Neodiprion lecontei: one gene and its partner. Each later gene encodes a partner of the first gene's protein in a complex. Links are inferred from orthologs where the notes say so. Each region holds a gene or a part of one and is shown in the gene's direction. Other genes may lie near its edges.

Region 1 (6,204 bases):
AGACATTCGTCAATCAAGTGATAAAACTTGGCATATCAAACGATTTCGCGACTCTTTAAAAACATATTAAATATCTATGGGGTCATTCATTGTTTATCACTTGTAGGATATTTAGGAGTGTGTGTGACACCTATTTTCATCTGAAGTTAATGTACTGCTACCTACCTCTTGAGCAAAAGCAATTTATTTGGGTTTCAGGGAGGATCAAGCATTGTTACTCATACCAACAGATTTTGCATTAGCAGTAAGAAATAAATGACTGCAAATTTCAGGCTTACGCGCAATCTATCTCCACTGGCACACGTCTGACTTAGGCGCTCGCTCCCAGCCAGATCTACAAGATTAATTTTACTCCGACGACTCGGCTCCGCCGGCTGATTGCCAGAGGGAACATCTACTTGTGTCTGAGTTAGAATCACACTGAAGATACTGTGGGACCTCGAACTCTTTTCATTCATTCCTGTCGCAGCTGTAGCTCTTTGAGAATTACCGACCTTCAGCCAGCCCTGAAAAAATTATGGACAAAAGTTGTGAAAGAGAAGTAAGTAGAGTGGCAAGTTTGAAATAGATTGTTGTCATTTACATTTTTTTTAAATTCTCTTTCAAACAACTAACCTGCAGATCTTCGTAACTATTGACACCGTGCTGACTCAGATCTACGACATAGGGCCCAAACACTGGATGTTCCCTGACTTTCAATGGCGCGCGTTTCCCCCCACTGGTATTGACGCCAAGGAGGTCGTGAATCTTCTCGTTGTATATTTCAAAATAGCTAATTTCTACCGTTGTTACAACTTTGGAGTTCCTCATTGATCGGCAAAATATTTCATGACAAAATCTCGGTATTATACCAGCTTCAGAGCCCAGCTCTGACCCGCACGTCTCTGTACCCATCATACTGTAACTTTTCCCAGATCCAGTTTGCCCATAGGCAAACAGACATGCATTGTAACCCTCAAATGCATTCTCTACCAGTGGTAGAACCATGTTCTTGAACACCACCTCTTGGGTGGCATGCTGTGGCGTGCAGGAATCGGCGTAAGATACAAAACAATGATCATACATAAATGTATGCCTGGAAGATTCGCACTCCACAGTTATGTTTTGACCATTAGCTTCGACGATTGCTGTTATTCGCTGGTCGTTCAGTTCCCTGTAAAGCCAAGTAATTCAGTTCTACATTAGTCACTTGACGAAAGATTGTTAGAAATACTTACTTGAAATTCAAAGGCCTAACCCTGACTCCAACAGTTAGATTACTCTGTTCTCCTTCGCACATTGTCTGCTCATCAGCACCCAGGTCCTGCCGGGTTCTTGGGGTTTCCATTTGAACGAGGTTAAAGCAATCTGGAGTCGCGGCTGGAGGATTATGATTACTGAAGTAACGTTTTACAGGTGTTTTACTTGTTATGGAGAATATGTTTGTTTTGGATCCTCGTTCATTAGCGGTAACTCTTTTGGGTGTGCAAAAATGTGTGACAGGAGTTCTGTCTGCAGATAATCTCGGATTTGATGTGATTCTCATTGGAGTTTTAAGCCTCTCTTCAGAAGACGATTTGGCAGACAGTGATGGCTCCTCTTTTTGCAGCATTGTTACAGATTTCGAACGAATAAGATTTGATTTGAATCGTGAATTGCTTGATGTTCTAATGTGAGAGACACAATCATCTGTTGTCTCAGGGCTTTCGAAGAACTTTCTGTGAACAATAATGTCAGGTCACTTAGACAATCCTTGTGACTGAGAACGATAAATATTGATTGATCTATTACTGAAAACTTACTTTTTAACTGGAGGTGCATTTTCTTTATTAAAATTAATAGGCTCACTCGAGAAAATAGCATTCAAAGATCGTGTGCTCGAAGTATTTCCACCTCTATGCGACATGATGAAAATAATTTTGTACAAAAGTATTTAGACCGCATGCAGGGAAGGTTTCTCACTTTCAGCAACGTTTACCGTCTCCAATGACGTTTAATGTTGTACTTGTATGCTGACAAATAGAATATTCAACACATGCAACTACAATATAAATAAAAACCGTTGACAAAACTCGGTTGTGCAGGGTGTCGGGATAACAATAGAACGGTTTTCACACAAAACTCGATCGATCAAAGGTGAAGTTCACTACCATTCAATATACGTACGATTTTTACAGCCTAAATACCTTTTCCTAACGTAAATACGGTATTTTTTTAACGTTATTTATTGTTTTTAACGCCCCAAATACATTACAAACAGACGCTTTCGCTTTCAGGCCGACAAGTTTAATCTTATTGGCTCACTAAAGTCGGGGGTTACTTCCCAAAAGCAATGCGACTCACTTGTAATTTCTTCACATACGTGAAAGCTCGTAGAGATCTCCGCCTCACTTTGCAGGCGCTTAAGCCGGATTGACGTCACCGCTTTCGACGAATGACAACTCCGGCAAACTCCGGCAGCTGTGTAAATGCTGGCCAATAGAAGTGCACAAGCCACGTTTATATTGCATGCTAACTGGCCATGCGCTGGAATCTAGCCTACAATACTGATAAACACATATCGTTATTTTTCACAGTATCAAATTAGCATTGACTAAAGTTTCAAGTTAAAATATAGTGTATACACATACATTCATTTACGTTAAAAATAGATTCATACTCCATGACCGATTAACAAAAATTGTTCATAACCTGACAGCCTTGCGAAGATGACGGGTCGAGTGATACCGGAACAAAGGTTCCTGAGTCGTGCCTTTACTTCGCGAGTTGCTCTAGCACTTTTAATACTGATAATTTTCTTCGGATTCCCGGCTCTCTGCGGGGGCCACGGACATTCACACGATGAACCTCCAAGCTTCAAATACAGCCAAACGGCAAACCAAAAGTTTCACGAATCCGCTGATCTCAATCATCACCACGAGCCTCATCATCATCATCATCACCACCAGCACCACCATGAAAAATATCACGCCCACGCTTCCGCAGACTCTCGAACCTCTGACCCTCCTAAGGGTCGAGACTTGGCGTCTCTCTGGATAAATGCTGTCGGTTCAACCCTCTTGATCTCTGCTGCACCGTTCTTAATTCTGTTTCTGGTTCCATTGGACAACAGTAAAGAGAAAGAACCTTGGCTGAAAATGGTCCTGAGCTTTGCCTCTGGGAGTTTACTGGGTGATGCATTTTTACATCTGATTCCACATGCTCTTGAACCCCACTCTCATGCACATGACGATTCTCACGCTCATAGCCATGTACCACCAGGAGAACACGGACATGAACATGGGCATGATATGACTGTTGGCTTATCAGTTTTACTGGGAATAATAACGTTCCTTATGATAGAAAAAGGAGTGCGTTTAGTCAAGGGAAATCATTCACATTCCCATAGTCATACCGTTCCTGTCAAGGAAAAGAAGCAGACTAAGGCTTCCGACAAAGACAAGTCTGATGGCAATGACAACCAATCGTTGGTAAAGAAAACTGAACTCATCGAGGACATCAAGATTGCTGGGTATCTGAATTTGGCTGCTGATTTTACACACAATTTTACAGACGGACTCGCTATCGGTGCGAGCTACTTAGCTGGTAACAAAATCGGAATCACCACTACAGTAACTATTCTGTTTCATGAGGTGCCTCATGAGATTGGAGACTTTGCCATTCTCATTCAAAGTGGAGTTAGCAGAAAAAAGGTGATCTTTGTATTTATCATTCACATTGGTTCTGAATACAAGCCCGAAATTTTGTTAAGTATCTTCCAATCATTTCAATGTTCATTTTTCAGGCAATTTGGCTCCAGCTAAGCACTGCGCTGGGAGCTGTTACAGGAACATGCGTGTCCTTATTAGCTGAAGGAATGGGTAAGAATGAAAAATTTTATACATTTATCATAGCTCTGATTCTTGTTTGTAACTCATTAAGATTGATAGATTAGCTGTTATTTTTATAAGTGTCTGCCACTGATGTTTTGATATTCTGCGATTACAGGTGATTTCGCCACTTCATGGATATTACCGTTCACCGCTGGTGGCTTCATATACATTGCGACTGTGTCTGTAATTCCTGAACTTTTATCTGACACCAAATTTTGGCAGTCGATTAAGGAGATTATTGCCTTGTTATTCGGTGTTTTTATAATGGTGCAAATAGCAAAGTATGAATGAATAGTGATTGATACAGTGACCGTGTGCAGTACATGTATCTGTGAAAAATTTTCTTGCAAATTGTAGAAAATATTTTTTTCACGATATCATTTTGAGCTGCTAATAATTGTAAACGGAGTAATGTAATTAGTGACCATGATTGTTCGACTAGCAGCATGTACTTTTAGATAATTTAGCTACATAAGATTTTTTGTAGTTTCATTACTAGAAAGATTATTTTTCTTTGTTGATATTTTTCATACTTTACACATTTTTTTATATATGGCTATACATCGGGAACAATTCTTGAAGATTATGTGAGTAAAATTGTTGAGATTTGTTCGGTATCAAGAGATGTGAGTAGTTGCAAAGCTCGCGGATTTCAACCGTGTATAATTTATTTTTATATAACTATAAGTAGATTCAGACGTAATTTAGCTATGATGTGAAAACAAATTCCTGTGCAATCCAGTTGCTGTAATAATTATTATAGTCATTATTAACTTGAGGATATTCACGCATACATCACACGACATTAAAGTTGAACTACAATATATACTAATGTTGAATAATTATATGAAACCTATCATTGTTTCAGTATTCGCACGTTAAATTGGAAATATGCTTTTGCAGTAAAGTACCTTTCAAACACTTATTTCAGACTAATCACTTAGAAATAGGAATACTCAGTCATATTGTACACAAACTAAGTAAAACGTGCTTGAGATTTTATGATTTACTTGTAATGTGGCATTTTTAGTGCATATAATTGCGCATTTGATATTATCTGTTATTGAGTGTCATTGAGGTCAAAACAAAACACCTGACCAAAAATATATCAGGTGCCAAATGTTAATAATTATTCAATTAACTTACGAGGATGAATTTAGTAATGTTAACATAACGAAAAATTTAAAAAAATCACTATTTTGTAGTTTCTAAATGACTTTTCAATACGTAGTTATATTTTCAAAATATCAGAGTGTCTAGTTGCTTGATTATGGTTTACCGAATTTCAAACAATCCTGAAGTAGTGACAAAACGGTTTGTTTATCCTAAAAACACATTATTGCATTGACATTATAAACTTTAAACTCGTATCGACTTTGTAGCTTCTACAGTACTCAACCGTTGTAGAAGCTTAATTACTTAAGCACCGAAAGTTATTAAAATAAAAGAGTTGAAACAAAATTGATAGTGCTGTTCCAAAGAATACTCATTACTAGAACCTATGTTGAAAAACTTGACACATATTTTTGAATAATCTCGGACTGTACAATTATGTTCAATATGAGGCCACAAAAAAATAATACAAAGAGTCAACTCACCAAGATAACAAATATTAATAAAACTCTTGCTACATATGTGAATCTAAGAAGAAAGTAGTTTGTTAATCTCATCCAGGCAATCGTTTGCTTCTACCAAAGACTCTTTATTTTTCCGAGATTTTGATAATCTCCAGCCTTCCTGACATGATTTTTTAGCTGCATCGTAAAGACCTTTTTTTATGAAAACATTTCCCAGATTGACATGAATTGAACCAAGCTCTTCCATCTCTGGTAATTCCTTTCCTGTTTGGTAAAATTGGTAAATTAGTACGAGTGCAAATGCTCAGCATAAAACATAACGTTAATTAAAATCTGTAAGTCACCAATTTCTGTAGCTTTAGTTAAGTAATCGATCGCTCCATCGTTATCTCCTTTCATGAAACTTATTGTGCCGAGATCATTCAATAGGACAGCGGTCTGCTCGTGCTTCTCTCCATTAATTTTCAGTGAAACTTCATAAGCTTTGAGAAAGTATTCAAATGCCTTGTCATGCTTAGACTGAGACAAAAGGAGTCTGGCGTACCAATCCATGGTCATAGCCCAAAGAACAATAACATCCTCATCTTCTTCCCCCTTGTCTACCTTATCTTGGAGATGCTTTAGGCAAAAAGTATATCCATGCTCTGCCTTTCTGTAAAGGAAAAAAGAAGCACAGTAAATTATTATAATTATATCCGAATGATTGCGCTGACACTTCACAATGGTAAGTATGTTCAATCACAGTGGCATGCTGACCCGGTATCCCCTTGATGTTC
Region 2 (6,429 bases), on another chromosome or scaffold:
GCCTATACCTATGGAGAAATTACGATCGAATTTCTGAGTAATTACGCAGCATTCTTGAGTAATTATGAGAAGTTGTTTTTTAGTCCACGTCTGAAGCCAAGGGGAAGTACTTCGTACACTTCACCTCGGAAGCGTTCCTTCACCTCCTCGTCCCTCCTCACCCTCTCTCCTTTCGCTCTCTCTCCCTCGTCTCTTTCGGAGCGCAATGGAGGGGGCGAATCAAGGTCGTCCGTAAATTAACCCGCACGCGGTAGAATCCAGAATATAATACTCACTTATTTCTCGGAGTCGCCGCAGGTTCTACATAACCCACACGCGTCGTGCGCACGTACCTGGCGGCCTTTACGCCACCCGGTACATTTAACTGCCTCTCGAATGACGTTCGGGCGTATGTCTACGCTCGTTGCATGCTCTTATTTTCGAACGACGCCCAAGACGCCGACTGAAACAGTAGACGCCATCCCCTCGCCCATTGTTGGCCAATTTCACGCGGGCCAAGCCGTTAATTACCAAAGCGCAGCTTGTCCCCGTCCCCAAGGCGAGAGGACCCCTCTAGCCAAAACAACATCGCCGAGGCCTAACGCCCTTGTTTCGAACGAACCTCTCTTAGTTTCGCGCCACTTTTCGAATCTCCACTGAGAAAACAATTTATTTTGTTTCACCAAACGTATATTTGGATATGGCGAAATAAACGTTTAGTTATTATCATCAAATTTTAGTCGAGCCAAGTATGATTTTTAAACCATTAACAAGTTTCTATCGATCATTATTTGGCTCGACTGAAATTTGATAATAATAACGAAACATTTGTTTCCTCGTATCCAAGCATACGTTTTTCAACAGTGAATAATAAACTTTTTTCTCAGTGTCCTTGATTGACGAAACGGCTCATTTTGTCCGTTAATTCACTGACAAGAGAAATATCGAGTGAAAACAAACTGTATTCTACATAGAAAGTTTTGTGAGATCCAACGTGGTTTGATTATCCTCAATCCTAGCTATTATCGGTAATGCGAGGAGGAAAATTGGGGGTTAAAAAGTACAGACGATGAATTGAAAAAAATTTAATGGCCTCGCATCGCACGCGAGTCGGGAAAAAAGAACGAGTAAAAATGGAAAAATTTTTCCGGCTACCGTGAACTGCAATAAGGAAAGCATAAAACTTTCTCCCTCGTCCGCGGCACGCTCCCTCGGGATTTCGGTTAAAGGGGAGGCGACGCGTTGCACGGGAGCAGACGTCGTACCTTGGCTGATGACCTCGTTGAAAAATATTAATGGACCGCTTGAAAACACCTCAAGAAAAATTATGATGGAATTCAATATATGTACTGCGTAGTTAGAGGTATGCCTACTTTGAGAAACGCAAGACTGTTCCTCGACTTTTTAATAGTGATGCAAAATTATTTGATGATCTTAAGGTATCGATTATTGTGGCGTTAGATTAATCGATTATTATTCGAGTTTTCAGAAATTCGATTATTATCGAATCGATTCTTTTTCTATACGAATCGATTAGTTATGACGATGGGAGTCATTTAAGAACAATTTCCTGTAAAAATGTAATGTTATTTTCTCGTAATTCATGAAACAAAGTCATTTGCTATCATCATTTTCTGATTACGTGGAAAAAGTAGTAGAATACTTCAAAATAACGTTTATTTGTTGCCAACAATGGTACACTGAATAATAGTATTAACGCTGTCAATAAATAGCTCGTTTGTTTCAGTTAAATGTTTTGTCGATTATGAGGAACCGATGCTATTTCCATCCAATATATCGATTCGCAAAATCGGAGATATAAATATAATTGATCGATTTTCAGATCGGTTCTTTAATTTTCTCGCACCACTGCCTCTTGAGTCAGTGTTCAATTACAATTATTACATACAATTTCGATACAAGAAAAACTTGCGGCGAAAATATTCTTGTTTTACCCATTTTAACACCACTAATCTTAGCGTATCTCATAACATTTCCCAGCTCGTATCTGTAAGTACGACCAAGTATCTAATTGGGCCCTTAAGGTTTACCTTACAATTAATGTCGCAATGAAATTTCGGGACAAGTATAAAAAACGCGACTTTCTCCTTGTAAACGGCTTCTCAAAACCTCAAACAACGACACGATAGCTCGATCCGTCTTCACAAAGGTGCAAAAACGGGAATACAAAGCGAGTAACATCGTGTCGGTGCCGCGCGTGATTCAAACTCGGGAATCCTACAGCGGTCGGTAATGCACCGGACCCCTGGATTACCGACGGAGCATAAATCGCCGCGGCGCTGTGGGTGCAGGCTACAGCGTGAGATGGCGGTTAATCTGTCAACATGGCCACGTGCCGACGAGGAGAACGGTCTTCCGTAGAGTGATAGAACGCGGATCCGGCCCGTGTCCTTCGGTATTTAGATAAATCCGGATAAGCCAAGTCGCGGCCAGGATGGCCAGGTGCAGAGGGCGCGTGGACAGTGTCAGTACGGAGCCACCCCGCGAATGGGACACATTTACGCGATTCTACTAGCCTTGGCAGCCGCCCAAGGACCCACAGCCGCGTTGTCATCGGACCGAGGAAGCGGCGCAGTCATGAAGAGTTACCGACCCCGGGGCGGAATCGCGCGGATGATATACGACAAGCAGAAGGCGGACGAGCGACTTCGCGTCTACGACAAAACCCAGGTGAGGAGTCAAAACCGAGCGAACCGAGTAACCTCGGAATTTTAAGATGCCCCGTTCTTACGGAGGAACGATCGCAAAGCTTCGGAAATTCCCGTCCGTCTGCGCGTGCGCGCGCAGCCCCGCGCTTTCCTCGTAGAACCGAGTGGTTCGACTAGGTGTGAGATAGGGTCGATCGAATGTGTGCGTGAGCGTGCGTGTGTGTTCGTTCACAGCGTCCTGCGTCAACTGTCACAGGGCCGCAGGCGCGCTCCTGTAATCCAAATGTTTGAATTTCGAACACAATGAGTTGAATTATTCGCGCTCGATTTGTCGGGTGTTTCTCGGGGAAAGGATAATTTCGGCGGCTCGATTTCCGAATTCGACCGCGTGCGAACGAGACGTCGAATTCGCTGTGGCCGTGGGGAACGAGAGATGTTTGAGAGAAAAAAACGATAAAATAGAAGGAGAACAAAAAAGGAGTAAGAATAATAACAATGTCCGAAAGAGTCGAGGGCGCGCGTGCAGCGGTTGTTGGAGGAAAAGATTCGATTTTAAAAGAGGCGAGGATTTGCGAACGGCGAGGAGCCGGCGGGAAGGTGGAAGTTGGAAGGTGGAAGGTGGAATGGGGGGGCGGGGGGGGGAGGGAAGGAGGCACGCCGGTAATAATTAGTACAATTATCGTACAAGGCCAACCACCGGTTCCCCGACGCGGCGCGTCCTACGCCCTGCGTGAGGTTACGGATGTATGTATCCGCGGAGAAAGAGCAGGAGAGAAATAGCGAGAATGAGAATGAGAATAAGAATAAGAGGCGGCCGGGCTTACCTGCCTGTCTTGTGTGCCCTCCAGAGGCTCCGGAGCGGTAATTATGCGTAATTACGTCGTCGATATTCCTGAAACATCTCTCGCCGCTGCTTGCGCTGCGGGCCTCTCGGACTCCCAGCCTATTTATAATTACCCGCTGCAAGGCTTGGAGTAAAGACTTTCCAATTTGCACCGAGCCAAAGCTCTTGCACGTGTGGTGCGCTCCTCTATACGTAGAACGCGCGTTACCGACGCACCGAGGAAAGCCATTCTTCGATGAGGGAAATAAAGAGGGAAAAATCGAAATAGGAGAAAATTAGCGGGAGTCGGGGAATCGCGCGGCGGCCTCGATTGCAAACTGCAAAGTCTAACTAACCGTGACGGCTCCTTTGCTCGCGCGCCGTGTGTGCCTTGCCTTTCCTTGCCTTTCCTCGCCTTGCCTTATACAACCTTCCCGTATATAACGAAGCAGTTCACGCGAAAATACATCCCCCGCTGCACCGCCGGGCTACGGGTCGGTAGCAGCACATCACATCGCATCACATCAGATCGAGAAGAGAGCTTGCGCCTGCAAAGAATATCAAGTTTCTGATCGAGCCCCGGGCGAGGGATTCAGCGTCTCTGTGTCTCTGATGTAGACACTTGAGCTGTACCCGTTACCCGGGCTCGAATTGGGTCTCTGGGTGTATTTATCATTTCATTGGAACTCACGATCAGCGACATCCGGTCGCAGGAAATTTAAATGTCAGGATACCCGAATTCAATTTTATAAAAATACGTTTTTTTTTATCATGTTCTTCAACCGATGTGCGTAGCTTGCGCGGACTTTTCTGCTCCTATCGATACTCGCAAAATCCGGTTAAAAACACTGGACTATTTCGCAGATTTCTTACACTACAACGGCATTTGCATGGGGATATGCATCCATCTGCTTAAACGGTTCTTCATCGACGGAGTAAAAGAAAGAACAATTTTTAACTGGCTCTAATCGCGATATAAATTGACGATGCGGGGAATATTCTTCATCCCAAACTCCGATCGTGATAATTAGATATCTATATATATATATATATATGTATATATTCGATGTTTTATATTTACTTGGGATCCGGAGCTAACGACGATATAACACGCACTTTGCACCGTTTCGGGATTAGGCTAAACCCTTACTCGAGACCGTTACGGGTTAGACGTTCGATAAGCGGTAATTAATGATCATGCAGTAAAGCTGTCTGCTTGCTCGTTTCTCGATATATCCCGGTACAGAACGCTCCGACTTCTACGGGCCCCGATATTCACTCGTGTGTGTAAGTTTGTATTCTACGTACGTAAAAGCCCGTTGACACAATCTTGTATCACATTACGTGCTATCGGATACGAAGCATAATCGTAGTAGTATAATTTATTTTTGCCAATCGTATCAAAGAATTATCCGTCAATGTTTGCGGCTGGAAATGAAATCTTGCAGCTTTGCAAACTTTTTGACGCGTGCGTGTGGTGACAAGTTTATTTAAAAAAAAAAAAATTAAAAAAACACAACCACAGGGCCAATGATTTTTAAAATAGCAAAAAATATCCTTGAATTCTTGAGAAAAATACTGTTTATATCCGGTTTTGATTATGTAATTCAGTTTGAAGTTGCAACGATTCAAATATCCCCACCTCAAACCAAAACAAGTACTGTGAGTTGACATTGAACCTATTTGTACATCACGTGGTGTCCACCTTCTTGGATTTACACCTCTCACTGCGAAACTATCGTCAGAGCACCACGTGCAAAATTGCTTTTCCTAATACGTGTCTTTTATTTTCGTTTTCTTCCTATAGAATTTAACTTCGATAACGTGTAAAATAATTGACTAATCCGAAGATTCCGTTTTACATAATCAAATCAGAGATGTATAAAACATCAACTATGTGTGGTATCTTCAACAATATAATTACATGAATCTACGGTTCAACGAACCTGTCGCGATCACGGATACCATCGATTGATCTGCTTAGCTGGTAGTAAAAGATAAGTGAATAATTGTTAACAAAACAATTCAAGAAATTATAACGACAAAACTTCGATGAAAGAAATATAAATTGATACAAGAGACTATTTTAAAATGAATGAAGAAAAAGAGAATATTCAAAAAGGAATAAAGAATAGTTCGAGAAACAATTTTAATGAAAGAAAAACGATATGTATTTCCAATTTTAATCTGTTTCACCTGCTGATCGATAATTTACGTACTTTGTGAGCGAATGATTGAATGGATACACGAATGAATATATAGTACGTTTTTCGGTTATTGCTATAAATTTATATAACAGAAGTAAAAGGAATATTTACAATTTTCGTAATCTATTACATAAAATTTGTTCATAATTTATATTCAACATCTAAACCTATATTTACAAAATTCTTTGCCTACGATCATACACGTAATTTTCCAAGTCAATTTGATCGAGGAACGCATATTGCTGGGTAACCGAACCGTCTTTTTGGAATAAAAAAAAAAATTCCTAAACCTTGTCACGAATCAATTTTCGCCGCACACCGTAACCCGGATAAAAATCAGCATCGGCGAATCGAGGATGACGATTTTTCAGGAAATTCGGTTGGCTCGAGATGTGCTATATACTCGTATATATATCGGCGGGGCCCCGAGGAGCCTCGCCCGGATGCCCCAGTCTCGGGCTCGTCGCCTCGGTTCCCCCTGGAGCGCCATCCATCACTCACTTAATATTTCAGTGCGCCTCTGCCCCTTTTTAAAACCTTAAAACACCATGGTGTAGCGTTGCCGCGCACATGCACGCGTTCATCTTACACCCCCGCGTGTTTATGTGTAGGTACATGTATAACAACACACTTGTCCAACCTGAGAGCAAAGTTCTCTGATGCCGGACTATGCTTAAGGATATTAGGGGCTGACGGTTTATCGATTTCTGGGGAAAATTCTCCGCTTACTTAGCCGCGGCTAGAACCCACC

The links.
Region 2: the proteins of protein catecholamines up (region 1) and protein-L-histidine N-pros-methyltransferase are in contact, whole or in part, in a crystal structure (PDB 8GZE), measured with the Homo sapiens proteins. The link is inferred for Neodiprion lecontei from reciprocal best matches to the Homo sapiens genes SLC39A7 and METTL9. Residues at the interface, in NP_001070984.1 of Homo sapiens: Gly65, His66, Thr67, His68, Glu69; in NP_057109.3 of Homo sapiens: Arg114, Thr115, Asn118, Arg123, Gly124, Met126, Met179, Asn210, Asp213, Arg214, Val241, His245, Tyr247, Glu249, Trp255, Tyr295, Leu296, Cys297, Glu298, Asp300, Tyr306, Val307, Leu308.

Annotation. Positions count from the first base shown.
Region 1 is NC_060261.1:35,213,941-35,220,144, reverse strand, and holds protein catecholamines up, read left to right. Parts: upstream 1-2,503; 5' UTR 2,504-2,687; coding exon 2,688-3,671; intron 3,672-3,763; coding exon 3,764-3,839; intron 3,840-3,966; coding exon 3,967-4,142; 3' UTR 4,143-4,677; downstream 4,678-6,204. Other genes in the region: kinesin-like protein KIF14, read right to left, coding at 279-506, 616-1,153, 1,218-1,697, 1,782-1,885; tetratricopeptide repeat protein 19 homolog, mitochondrial, read right to left, coding at 5,493-5,692, 5,773-6,080, 6,185-6,204. UniProt on the Homo sapiens protein: Transports Zn(2+) from the endoplasmic reticulum (ER)/Golgi apparatus to the cytosol, playing an essential role in the regulation of cytosolic zinc levels.
Region 2 is NC_060262.1:21,743,696-21,750,124, forward strand, and holds the start of protein-L-histidine N-pros-methyltransferase, read left to right. Parts: upstream 1-2,310; 5' UTR 2,311-2,487; coding exon 2,488-2,670; intron 2,671-6,429. UniProt on the Homo sapiens protein: Protein-histidine N-methyltransferase that specifically catalyzes 1-methylhistidine (pros-methylhistidine) methylation of target proteins.